2 linked regions of the Astyanax mexicanus genome follow. The protein of the gene in region 2 purifies or fractionates together with the protein of the main gene of each other region. This does not show direct contact. Links are inferred from orthologs where the notes say so. Each region holds a gene or a part of one and is shown on either strand. Other genes may lie near its edges.

Evidence for each region. Proteins that work in one complex are often made in the same cells at the same time.
Region 1: the proteins of tsr1 (region 2) and riok2 fractionate together in Homo sapiens (co-fractionation; 3 studies listed by BioGRID and IntAct, with this or other methods). This does not show direct contact. The link is inferred for Astyanax mexicanus from reciprocal best matches to the Homo sapiens genes TSR1 and RIOK2.

What each region holds. Positions count from the first base shown.
Region 1 is NC_064429.1:14,110,295-14,117,135, forward strand, and holds the start of riok2 (serine/threonine-protein kinase RIO2), read left to right. Parts: upstream 1-3,816; 5' UTR 3,817-3,943; coding exon 3,944-4,009; intron 4,010-4,178; coding exon 4,179-4,317; intron 4,318-5,073; coding exon 5,074-5,190; intron 5,191-6,841. Other genes in the region: atxn2 (ataxin-2), read left to right, coding at 939-967. UniProt on the Homo sapiens protein: Serine/threonine-protein kinase involved in the final steps of cytoplasmic maturation of the 40S ribosomal subunit. Involved in export of the 40S pre-ribosome particles (pre-40S) from the nucleus to the cytoplasm.
Region 2 is NC_064425.1:15,236,955-15,244,364, forward strand, and holds the start of tsr1 (pre-rRNA-processing protein TSR1 homolog), read right to left. Parts: upstream 3,027-7,410; 5' UTR 2,991-3,026; coding exon 2,870-2,990; intron 2,198-2,869; coding exon 2,094-2,197; intron 2,016-2,093; coding exon 1,787-2,015; intron 730-1,786; coding exon 595-729; intron 1-594. UniProt on the Homo sapiens protein: Required during maturation of the 40S ribosomal subunit in the nucleolus.

The sequences.
Region 1 (6,841 bases), on a different chromosome or scaffold from region 2:
TGACTCCCTGAATATACTGAATATAGACCAGGTTATTCCATCAATGGATTTTTTCTTCCCTGTTGACACGGCCATATTCCAAGATGACAATGTCAGGAATCATGGGTCTGGAATTGTGAAAGAGTGATTAGTGACTACAAAACCAGACAGTTTAGTGAAACGTCTTTTCAGCAGACTGTTTAAGAACAGCATGTTTCATGTTCTGAGGCCATGGTGCCAATAAACAGCAGCAGCAGGAAGCTTCACTACTGAACTAATAAACACATCTTTAGAGCAGACATGCCCACTCAAACCTGAACTGACCAATCAGCTCCTTCACACGGGTATGAGAATAGACCTGACACAGTTTAATCTCAGATTTAAAGAAAAAGCACCAGTAAAAATCAAACTGCACTTTTTTAAGCTGTACTTGTTTACTTTTTTTAAGCATTTTAGATGCACTTTATCCAAAAGCAACACTGTATTTTTGTGGCCCTTTGTTTTTAGGCTACTTGAAGTGGGGGAAATGTTTTTATTTATTTATTTATTTTTAGAATGAATTTATGTCATTTGAATTGCCTTACAGTTTGTCTTAGAAATGTCTTTTTGTTATTGACTTATGAGATGAAAAAAAAGTATATTACAGTGGTGTGAAAAACTATTTGCCCCCATACAGATTTCTTTTGTTTTTGCACTTCTGTCATACTTTCATTTTTCAGATTATCAAACAAACTTTAATGTCAGACAAATATAACCTGAATAAATATAAAAGCACTTTTTAGCTGATGATTTTTTTAGCTTCATGATTGAGACGCTGTGGGTGATCTTAAACAGGACGTTTATGCTGGAAAATCCTCCAGTATGGCTTTTTCACACAGGGCTAGATTGGTTTGTATGTTCACAGAAAATGCATGTATACAGCTCTTTAACTCTTGTTTTTGTTTCTGTTCTTTGTTCAGTACAACCTCACCATCAGCAGCAGCTGTAGAAGAGGAGGACTGGCTTTAAAAGGAGGCCTGCTCCTCAACCCTTCTGGCCCCACCCATGACCGACTGTCCAACCAGTCCTTTTCCTTCTCCTTTTCTAAATATCCAGTGAGAAGGCCACTAAAACTTCAATTGTGCTGCACTTCTGCTATTCTCCACCAATAATTAATGCTAATGAGCAAAGTTGCAGTGAACAGACGTGGGTTTTTTAACAAGCGTTTTAACAAGACAGGGACTGTTTTCATGTCATAACAGCAACGGTATGAGTGAAAATCTAAGTCAAGAAACTGGAACTTACATTTTGTCTGCACCTTCTAAGTTAACAAAAATTCTTCCAACCTATTGACAGTATTAACTTTACTGTTAAATGCTGCTGCTACTGCTGCGTTCGAGAACTTGGGGTAACGGAAAGCAAAGAAAAAATATATATACAGTATATATATATATTCTAACCAAACTAAACAAAACGGGAACTTCCAGTGATGAAAAACATTTGGCAAAAAAAAAAGGCAGATTAATTATTTATTTAACTAATCAAAACATGAGCCCCATTACACTTGACCGTTATAAAACTGTTAAGTTAAGGACTTTTACTTTGTAGATAATATAAATGAATAAAAAAATTTAAAAACATTAAAAAAAGTTTTAAAAACTGAAGCTGTCTTGCGTTTTGTCATTATTTTTGAACATCGTCTGTGGTTTTGACACAAAATTGAGATGCATGGCCCAAATTTGATTTTTTTTAAGTCATATCTGACACAGGTATGTTGTTTGTGTTGCTGTGTGAAGAGAATTGGATCTGACTTTTTCAGTTCTGATTTAAGCCACTGAAATATGGTATGTTCATGTTACTTTATTTTGATTATTCAACTTTATATAGAAATTTCTAAAAAAAAAAAAATGTACCACTACATTGATGTATTACACACAGATTGATCTATTGTAAGCGTTTGTTTCTTTTAATGTTGATGATTTCTGGCTCACAGTCAATGAAAACCCAATAATCAGTAAATATCAGAAAATTTTAATATTATTTTGTGCCAGTTTGCCTGCTGGACAATGAAATCTGCATCTCCATTAAAGTTGTCAGCAGAGGGAAGCATGAAGTGCTGTAAAATGTTCTGGTAGAAGCTGCGCTGACTTTGGACTTTAGTTATAATATATTTGACCAACACCAGCAGATGACATGACTCTGCAGACCAGAGACATCAGATAATAAAATAGTTGTTTTTTTTCCTTCTTCTACTTTAATGTGAAAGGACTCATATGTCAATGAAGGAGTTTTGTGTCTAGAAGGAATACCGAAGATTACAGAATGCTACATCTTTGTGTTCTTTTAAAACCACATTAAACCAAGGAAGCTTCAACAACACATTAGGGAATTAACATGATATTAAGCATTGATAATCTTTATAGAAATTTAGAACACTGTGTATCTACTTCTGTGTCAAGCAGCAAAATATTGTAACATGACATGTTTGATTTAAAGTGACTTTGCACGTCCTGCGATGTGACTATTGCACGTGCACACATCGCGATGACTACACTTAAACAATATATCGTGCAGTCCTAGCATTCAGCTCTCATCTCTGTCTGACCTCTGTATTGAGTAATAGTGAGAGGACTGGGCCCCCAGTGCTCCTCTAAATCCACCACTAGAGGACCTCCTACAACTATTTCCACAAACCTTCAGTTCAGGAGGTCTGAGTTCACACTTCACACGAGGACATTTAAACTCAAGTTGAGCAAAAGCTTTCCAACAATATGAAATTAATAAATATATAAAATGAATCTATAAGTGTGTATGAGGAATGAATGTATGAAAACTGCCCAGAAGTATTTTCCTTACTGCAATTAATTAAAAATACAGTAAAGTACAGGTGATGTTCCACAGCAGTACTGGCTAAATATACTGTGGACAGATGAAACCAAAATTTAGTTGTTTGGAAGTAACACACAACGCTGTGTGTAGAGTGAAAAAGGCACAGCACACCATCATCAAAACCTCACCCAACTGTGAAACATGGCGGCGGGGGCATCATGGTTTGGGGCTGCTTTGCTGGACGGCTTGCCGTCATCAACTAAAAAAATAATAATTCTCAATACATTTTACCAAGTTTACCAAGACATTTTGCAGGAAAACTTGTCCACTGACTGAAGCTCAAATGAGGATGGATGATGCAACAGGACAACGACCCAAAACAGAAGTAAATCAACAACCGAACGGCTTCAACAGAAAAAAAATACGCCTTCTGGAGAGTACTGACCTTAACCCAGTTTAGTTGCTGTGGCATCGTGACCTCAAGAGAGAAATTAACACCAGAAATCCCAAGAATATTTCTGAACTGAAACAGTTTAGTGAAGAGGAATGATCCAAAATTCCTCCTGACTGTTGTGCAGATCTGATCTGCAACTACAGGAAACGTTTGGTTTTGTCTGTTGGGAACCAAATGGGAGTCGGTAAAGAATCAGGTGAGATATTTACCTGTGCTATTGCAGGTCTGATCTGCAACTACAGGAAATGTTTGGTTGAAGTTTTTGCTGCCAAAGGAGGGTCAACCAGTTATTAAATCCAAAGATTCACATACTTTTTTCACCCTCACTGTGAATGTTAACATGTTGTGTTCAATAAAATAATGCAAACATATGTTGTGTGTGGTAATAGTTTACGCAGACTGTGTTTGTCTATTGTTGTGACTTAGATGAAGATCACAACACATTTAAGAACCAATTTATGTAGAACCAATTTATGTAGAACCAATTTATGTAGAGTTGAGAGATGAGTGAGAGTAGTGAGAGTACTCAGGGTACGCCAGTCCACTAGAGGGCGACTGTGAGCTAAGCCGCTGAGCGGCCGGGCTGCGGGACTCGTGTGTGTTCCTGCTGTTGACGGCGTGTTTGGGAGAGCGGAGGCCTAGCGGAGAGTTATTATTATCACTAATAATTCTGAGATCCGCTGTTCCTAATCTTTTGTCAGTATGGGGAAGCTGAATGTGGTGGTGCTGAGATATCTGTCCCGGGAGGATTTCAGGGTTCTGACCGCCGTGAGTTTAACTTTATTACAGACAGACTGTAGTGTTTAAACTGAACTGGTGAACTAGCCTCAGTCAGATGAGCTCAGATCTGTAATAATAATAATACAGTACAGTATTACTGTGCTGTAACTCAGTGTAGCTCAGTGTGTTGATCTGAATGTATTGTACTGTAATACAGGTGGAAATGGGGATGAAGAACCACGAGATCGTACCGATGAGCCTGATCTCCTCCATCGCCTCTCTGAGACACGGGGGCTGTAATAAAGTGCTGAGGGAGCTGGTTAAACACAAGCTCTTAGCTTATGAACGATCCAAAAGTAAGTACAGTTTATCTGTATATTCATTTATTTATCTGTATATATATTTATTTATTTATTTGTGTTTATTTTTATCTGTATATATTTTTATCCGTATATTTATTTATCCCTATAATTATTTATCTGACTATTTATTTATTCGTATGTATTTTTATCCGTATTTTTATTTATTTGATTATTTATTTATCTGAATATTTATTTATCTGTATATTTGTTTATCTGTATATTTTTATCTGTATATGTATATTTATTTATTCCTATATATTTTTATCTCTATATATTTTTATCCATATGTATTTTTATCCGTATATTTATCTGTATTTTAATGTATCCATATATTTATTTATCTGACTATTTATTTATTGGTGTATACTTTTAGCCCTATATATTTTTAGCCCTATATATTTTTATCCGTAAACTTATTTTTCCGTATATTTATTTATCCGCGTATTTATTTATCTGACTATTTATTTACCTATATATTTATTTATTTGATTATTTATTTATCTGAATATTTATTTATCTGTATATTTGTTTATCTATATATTTGTTAATCTGTATATTTTTTTATCTGTATATATATATATATATATATATATATATATATATATATATTTTATCTCTCTATATTTTTATCCCTATATTTATTTATCTGATTATTTATTTATCTGTATATTTATTTAACTGAACACTTATCTGTAAGATTGTCAGGTTGGTGAATTAAGTTAAATAAATTAATTTTATTTGTGTTTATAGCTGTGCAGGGCTACAGATTAAATTATGGGGGCTATGATTACCTGGCTCTGAAGACACTGTCATCCAGAGATGTCATTCTGTCTGTTGGGAACCAAATGGGAGTTGGTAAAGAATCAGGTGAGCAACTAACCTCATATCTGATCATTTCTACTGATGAGATATTCCAAGTTTTTAGTGACACATTCAGATACAAGAGCTTCTTGCATATAAATGGCAAGTGCAGTCTGTATTTTTTTGTTTCTAAACTGAAAGCAGAAGCATTTCTGAGTGGAGAAAGGATAAGATGTTGTGTTTAATGGTACCAGTGTGCTCAAAAGACCCTCCCTGCTAAGCCTAATATATTCATTCTAAAAACTGGGGCATCGGGTCACTTTCAGAGGGAGTTCTAAATGGCCACGTCATGCATCTTTATGCACTTATGTCACACGTTCAGCCTCTAAAAGAGGATCCGGCTCAGTTTTACTGAATGCGAGCGGCTGGTGGAGCAATGGAGACTTCAGAAGGGGAAACTCAGAGTTCAGTAGTTCATTCACTCAGTAAAAACAAAGAAACGAAGGAGTGAAGCAGGTTCTGAAGCCAAAAAGGAACACGATAGAGTCTGTGCTAACTGGGATTAATAGCGAATTTGCATTTGAACGGTTGATAAAGCTCCGTGACCTGAAAGGACTCTCTCTCTGACTGAACATAACCTGGAAGCTACATAACCTATGTCATCCTCTCTGAAAGAAGATCCCATCACACCCGCCCAGTTTACAATAATTCTTCTGCATGCTCTGTGCAATTACTCATTTTTACCAGAGAGGGCCCTAAATCCCCCAAATTCCAAATTTTACGGACATTAGCTTTAACAGCCGACATGCTGTTAAATGAGCATTTTTATTTTGCCGCTTTATTAAGAACAAAAAGAACAACGTTACTTTAAAATATTTTCTCTAAGCGTATTTTAGATAATATCAGCATTAGATTGACAAAGCGATAACTATGTTATCGACTTATCGTACGTAAATTTTTTTAACCGCAATAATTTTTGCCGACGTCGATAACAGCCATTGGGCCCTTGAGTTTACATGAGAACGAGTCGTGATGTGCGTCTCTCTCGCCGACAGCGACATCTATCGGTTAGGAAATGAGTGTAGCGGCAAGCGGAGCTCATCAGTGATGGCGTCTGCACACACGTGCGCACGCACACACAAACACACACACACACACACAGCAGAGAAAACTTGTGCTTGCGAACGTATTCGAGGACTTTCTCTTAACTAAACCACTTTAGAGAGCGTTAAGAAGGTTTTTTAGAAGTCCGGATGGTGCGGGAGTATTTTGGCTTTAAGCCAAATGAGCGAGGAGAACCATCGACGCGAATCAGTCGGTATGTTGACTTGTTTCAAAACAGTGGAAACGAAGCTGAGATCTCATTTAAAGCACAACCATACAGCCCAATTTTCCGAGCTGAATACTGAATATGAATATTGTACCCCAGAGAGATCCTGCCTCAAGCCCCACAGGGTGAACATTCTGGTGTTTCTTGCTCTGAATTTGTCTGACAGTTACTTTAAAAAATACATTTATAGCAAGAGCTTTGGGCTGCTGAACCATATCATATGGCCACTTGGTAAATGTTGTCACTATTTGTTGTTTAATATTTAGTGCAGTTTTCTCTGAGTCCAGAGTGCTTGTACTTTACTTGTTTTATTTATTATGGACATTAAAATATTTGTATATTGGAAGCCCAGTGTAAAAAAGTTTAACTGTAAACTGGTGTAATAGT
Region 2 (7,410 bases):
ATGTTAATAAAATAAAAACAAACATCTGTAACAGAATGCAAAATTAAAAATTAGAATGAAAAATAAGTTAAGGAGTTTTAAAAATCAACACTTAAAAGCCTCTACTAGTAAGCTGCTCTAACAATTTGAAGTGCAACTGCTGAAAGTTGAATCACAGAAAGTTTTTTTTTTTTTTTCCTGTTCTGAGAAACAGCTAAAGAGAACAATCCAAAGATCTGGGAATCTTCCTGTTTCAAAAAACCAATGGCATTTTTGGCAGGCAGTCTGGTGCAAGACAAAGAAGTGCCATGTAGTGTTTGACGTCATACATCCCACACCTAAATACAGCTCAAAGAGAAAGAGGTACCAGGACTAAGGTCACATTACAAGGTGCATTAAATCACTTTGGACTCTTTGCTCAGATCCGATTTGGCAAACTGAGCACACTGATGTTTAAAACGTCCCCTCCCTCATCAACCAATGCTGAATAATGAAGACAGCACTAAGCACATGCAGACTTGCCAAAAAACAAACTCTGTTATTTATGTAATGTTAAAAATAAATAAGGCAGGAAAAATGCTGAAAAACAGTCTCTGACTCCGACTTTTAACTCACCATGACTTGGTAATCCCTGTGCAAAAAGACAGGACAGACAGTAATCTCCATAACTGTCCCAGCCCTCAGTGGACTCCAGCACAAAGACCAGACTGTCCGCCACCTTCGCCACATCCAGAAGAGAGTGCAGATCAGCTAAAAACAGTGAAATATCATTACAAATTAAAGGCTAGCAACCATTAAGCAATTAATACAGAATTACTGCATTTCACATTTTAAATGATTACAATAATTACATAATAATACAAATGATAATAAAATTGAGCAGAGTACAGTAGTTTTGCCTTTTCAACCATAAATACTGATACTAGACTCTGCTCTGATATGGTAACAGTAAGGGTGTGGCAGTGTTTTTCCATTTAACATACACCAAAATCCCAATAGTCATGTATGACCAGCTCTGTATGACCAGCTCTGAAAAATATGAGAGCACTTAAAAATGATGTTTCTTTGATTTCACTAAATAAAATAAAAAAACTCTGGAATATAATCAAGAGGAAGATGGGTGATCACAACCATCAAACCAAACTGAACTGCTTGAATTTTTGCACCAGGAGTGACACAAAAGTTATTCAAAAGCAGTGTGTAAGACTGGTGGAGGAGAACATGCCAACATGCATAAAATTGAGATTAAAAACCAGGGTTATTCCTTCAAATATTGATTTCTGAACTCTTAAAACTTTATGCATATGAACTTGTTTTCTTTGTATTATCTGAGGTCTGAAAGCTCTGCCTATTTTTTGTTATTTAAGCCATTTCTCATTTTCTGCAAATAAAAGCTCTAAATGACAATATTTTTATTTGGGAGAAATGTTGTCCGTAGTTTACAGATCAAAACAACAATGTTCATTTTACTCAAACATATACCTATAAATAGCAAATAGTGGTACTTATGGTACAGGTGACGGGTGACATCTGGTTAGAGCTCACTGTCTGAACAATCAATCACTCCCATATTCACTGCAGGAGGCCTCAAATGAGTATCTTGCATCTCAGCGCAGCATTCTTTGGGTAAATGGACATTTGGCATGTCTGAACCTTTGCTTTTGTTGTCACATAACTACTTAAAAATAAAAGACATATAACATTAAAACTCGGATCGTGCAACACGTGTGATCAAGTTTAGGCGTAAAATATGGTTATTCTTTTAACAAGTCAAACATTCTTTTGCAGTTATACAACCACGGGTTACCTGTATCTGAGCGGTAGAAAGTAAATCTCTGTTTGAAACGAGGAAGGACCAGGCCAAAACTGTCCTTAGCCCCTTTGACTCCTTGGTCTTCATGCAGCACCCCTCCAATCCCCTCTCCTCTCAGTATCTGCGTCACAGCTCCAGCGTCCACAGCAGCATGCAGGGAAACGACAGCCACCAGGTGAGGTGGGCCATCTCTACTGCCCAAACGACGCTTCTCGTTCAGCACCTTGTAAAATACAAAAACAGCATTAATAACAAACACTTTTACTTGAAGTTTAAAGGATGAATCTCATTACTTTCTTACCATGTCCTTCTTGTTGCGCCTCAGCTGGTTGGCTTTATGTCTACGGTCCAACTTCTTTAACTCTCTTCTCTGCTTTTTCGACAGAGCCATGACAGCAACTCTGCCTGATGGATGAAATCATTTTTGAAAATCAGCTTAAATAAAACAGTATTTCTTCATACCTGATCAAAGTAATCTGCTTATTAACAAGTCCTTACTGAGTTGTAGGACAGTGGATCATTTGAGGCCAGTGTTAAGAGATTAATCTTACACGGTAAGTTCCCGGGACAGGGATTAAGCCTAGTTACAGACTACATTTTAATTTTAATAAAAAATCTTTATATCTTTAAATCTTATGTCACCATGGGTTCTTTAGGGCCAGGCTTAATGCCTGTCTGGGAAAACTGTTCCCTGAGTCCCTACTTAAAATCATCTGTTCAGATACTGCATTTACTCAATTACAGGCCAGAAAACAGGCCAGCTGTCTCTGGGATTCAACAGCAGAGCTGCCACACAACAGCCCTTGTAGTTAAACAGCAAGATAGCTAACCTGGTAAGCTATCTGACTGTTTGTAAGCTCAAACTGCTACAATGCAGATATGATAAAATATAGTTATGGACACTACCATATCCCATGAACTGTGTCTGCTGTAACCAGCTAAGTTAGCCATGTTCTCTACTCTGGTCTGTAAGAAATGCCTGAACTCCAGACACGTGTTAGTCGCAGGTTAGCCATGCTGCTCCGCCGGAGTGTCTAAACCCCAGAATAACCCTCTGAACTGAAGCCCCGAGCTCACCCTTGTTCTCCCGCTCGATCTCTCCTTTAGTCCGGTGTTTGCCATGCTTGTGCTGCTTGTTTTTCTGTTTGTAAAGCCCGGGTCGGTGAGCTTGCTGCTGCTGTTCTCCGCCAGCAGCCATTTTCGGTCACGCCGCACATGTAAACTTTAAATGACGTCATATTCCTGCGCGCGGCGAGGAGGTTTAATGAACCGATTCTTTAGAGAGAACCGAATCGCGGACTGGACGAGTCTTTAATTCACATCTGAAGTAAACGTTGTTTATCCGATCAATTTAAGACGTTTAATATATTCTAAAAAGAAGCTAAATATAACATAAAATCTGGCTGCTGATTCTCTTATTTTTGTTTTTAAAATGTTCTGTCATTGTAATTACTTAAAAAAAAAAAAAAAATATATATATATATATATATATATATATATATATACAGAAGATAATAACTACAGATTTTAAAAAGAAAAAAGCTTTTAACATCTTAAACATCTTTAATCTTTTAAATCCTCTTTTAAAGGAAATATTTATTTAAATATAAATTTAAATATTTATTTAAATATATACATTTAAATATACCTTTCCTTATTTTACTCTTATTTTACTCTTTAACTGATATTTCTATTATAAAAGGTGTTTTATCCTATCATTTTAAGACATTGCATAAAAATCTATTATGCTTTCAAAAATGTGTGTCTGTCTGCTGATTCTATTACTTCTGTTTTCAAAATGTTTTAACTCTATTTAACTCAATTATCTACTATTGTAATAGCTTAAATAAAAAATAAATGTACAGATAATAACTACAGATTTAAAAAAAAAAGTCTTTTAAAAATAAAAAAAAAATCTTTTAAATCCTCTTTTTAAGGAAATATTTACCTTATTTTACTCTTATTTAACTAATTCTTTCTATTAAAAATTTGTGCAAATGTAATATGTGTTATCAAGTCTTCGGTTTACAGCTGAAAAAATGTTTTCATTTTAAAATTTTAAGACACTAAAAAAAGACATAAAAATATTATTCTCTCTCAAAAAAAAAGCTGTGAATATTGTGAATAGTGCATATTTCTAAATCATGTATTTCTCCCAGGAAAATTATATTACTATATCCTATAGGTGTCAATTACGATGAAACGCTATACAGTGCTATGTATGTACATGTTTAAATTTTTAATAAATAAAAAATAAGACGTAAAATAAATTCAGTGAGTCATGATTATTCCGCTCCTTTTAATTTAGGGATCACATAAAAAAATTGAAAAGTACAAAATCCAATTATAAATATCTAAATTTTGTTACAGTTTTTATTGTAGTCTTAGCTCTTATTGTATGGATTAGGGAGATATTCTCTTAAATTTTTTGCATTTTTTTTATTGTTTTTAATTTTTTAAAATATTTTTTGTTATTGGCTATGCCTGCCTTATCTTCTTTTCGTTTTTGTATTTTATTAGTGTCTGACTGCTGATTCTCTTATTTCTGTTTTCACAATAGTTGAATTCTATTATTGTTATAGATTCAATTAAAAACTTATATATACAGATAATAACTACAGAGTAAAAAAAAGAGAAAAAGTGAAATGATCTTTTAAATTATATTTTTTAGGAAATACCTCACTTAATTTTTACTAGTAAGAATAAATTATTTTTTTTATAAGTCTTACTATTTAATTTCAAGAAATTTGGTTTTTCCCATTTCAGGTTTTATGCAGCCTGGTAATATATTTAAGTTAGTTGTTTTGTTATTTTCTAATATGTTTATGGGAATGAAATTCGAATATTTAATTTGGAGATTTAATTTACAAAGTTCAAAATTTATTGTGAACTTTTAGATGTAAGGAAGTACAGCTCTGTAAATGAAACACTAAACAAACTAAAGTGCGTGTGCGCCCTCTACTGTTCAGTTATTGTGCTGAAATTACACAGAGAACATTGCAATGAATTAAGGACCTGTCATATTTTTTGAAAGGTAAAAAGACAACAATATCTATAAAAAAATATCTATCTTCTATTCTCTTTCAGCAGGACTGTTTCTTTTTCAAGTGGAATAGCCGCTTGGGGCAGGATTTCTCAACCCTAGAAGCTCTTTGCCCTGCCCATTTTAGTGCTTACCCTGTTCCCAACACACCTGAATCAACTAATCAACTGATTAACAAGTCCTTTCAAAAGTGCAGAGGGGGTGTGTTGAGTATGCAGGGCATACAATTCACATATAGGGGCCCTTCAAATCAATGAGTGTATATAATGTATATATCTACAGCTTCAAATGAACAAGTGAACTTTATACAATATATACAATTCAGTTTGTAATGCAAAGTTGACATTTAACCTCCAAAATTAAGTAGTCTAAAGCCTCTGGATCAAATAGTCTAGTCTGACCAAGAAAAAAGACTTCAACCATACCTACCATAGATTTCCTAAAGCAGCTGACTTGTATCTGCATGATTATGTGCACTGCTGCCACTTGATCAAATTATTGGATGAATGAGTAGCAATACATACAGCAGTAGAGTCTCTAATGTCTCATATTACAATAGCAAAAACAGTCATTTTACAACAGTACGACATGATACATCCCATAAACCAAACAACCACATAGCTTATTCAGGATACTACTCAGACTCAGGCCTTAAAAACAGACTTTTAAAAGTATTTCATTACTGTATTCATACTTTGAGTATGTTTGTTAATATGTTTTACGTCTGCTCACATCAAAATAAACACCTATTTTTTTTTTGTACAAACTATGTAACAGGCTCATAAAATTTACATTAAGATTACAGTAATTAAGTAGTTATACCTCTCGTCAAATCTGTTAAAGTTAACAGAGATATTATAGATCCCTCCACTCCTCTCTCAAAAAAGCTTCAGCAGTAAATTCTTTTCTAAATTTGTTTCTAAATTCGCTTTACCAAATCCCAATATTCCCGTGGCATTTACATAAACTGCATCATTTTTTAAACTATTTAATTTAAAAGGTAGAAATAGACTACCTTTAAAATAAAACCAATCATTAAACAAATCAACTAAACCTGAAAATAAACAAGCAATTAATGTTCATCACATGTTCAGGACATCAAATAAACCACAGATATAACAAAACATTCACATCAGTGATTTAAATCGCTGAATTCGATTTGCACACATATCGAAACGACTCATAAATCGATTTCTAAATCAACTCGTGAACCGATTAATGAACAAACTCTGCTCTTTGGCTGTCTGATTTGAATAATTAATATAGCTAAAAAGGTAATTAAGCCTGAGACATTAAATAACCTTGCTCCAGTGGAAAAGTAATTAAGGCTTTCCCACCACAGACATTCACACTCTACTAGCTTATTATAGGATATTTATTATATATTTATTTAAAAACATGATTTTGTAAGCCAAATATAACTGCCTTTTCACATCAGATGGCAATATACACATAGCTAATTAGCTAGCTAGCTACTTTGGAAGGCAATAAACTATTTTTTAAAAGTGTCATTAACTTGCCTTGCAATGGTCATACTTGGGAAAACGAAGTTTCTTTAGTAACAGTGTGCTTTGCCACTTTTATATTACTCAAATTAAGTTATCGTTAGCTAGCTTGCATTAACTTAGCTTGGCATCTGCTTTTTGGTAACCTAACTTGAAACACTATTTTGGTCACATTTAGGTTTAATTAATTTAATGTAAGTGAATTATCGAATTATCCATGTATACAGTTTTATAACAACACTGTTTTTCTTAGAGTCGTTTTCTACAGTAAACCGTTATCTGTGTACTTTTGTGTGTAAAAAAATGAGGCAACCACTGAACTTGTTTCGTCATTTCGTAGTCTGCATCATGTTGGTAAGCCTATATTTGCTAATTTGGATCTAACCTCGATTTTCAGTGGCAAAAATAAAATAAAAAATTTAATGTCTGCAAAATTGCTTGTATCAAGATCATGACTATGTTCTTATGCACACATTGGCCAAAAGTAATGTTTGCATAATGTCTTGGAGTAAAAGTAAAGTAAAATATAAAGTATATATAATACATCTGTAAAGATATGCAAACTACTTCAACTACTTACTTGTACTGGTACAGTTATAGACTGTATTCTTTCTGTTTCTCTCACCTAATGCTTCAGGACCACCACAAAGCAGGATTTATGTGGGTGGGCCATTATCAACACTCCATTGACACTGATATGGTGGAGGTGTGCTGTTACAAGTGGGTCAGGCACAGCAGTGCTGCTGGAGGTTTTAAACGCTGTGTCCCCCTAACTGCCCACTCTGTTGGACACCCCTGTCTAGCTGCTCATCCTTGTCAGTGATTACAGGATGCTGCCCACAGAATGCTACCCACAGCATTCTGCCTGTGGTGGTTCAGTGGGGCCCTGAATATTGAAAAACAGGGTAAAAGGAGGATATAAAGTACACAGGGAAGCATAAAAGCAGGACCAAAGCCTGTATTTGTAGAACTAAAATGTTTTATATATGGTAGGTGGAGCTGATAAAATGAACTCTTAGTGTAGAAACAAGGAGGTGATGTTAAAAAAGCAGCTGGCCACAGTAAACTCT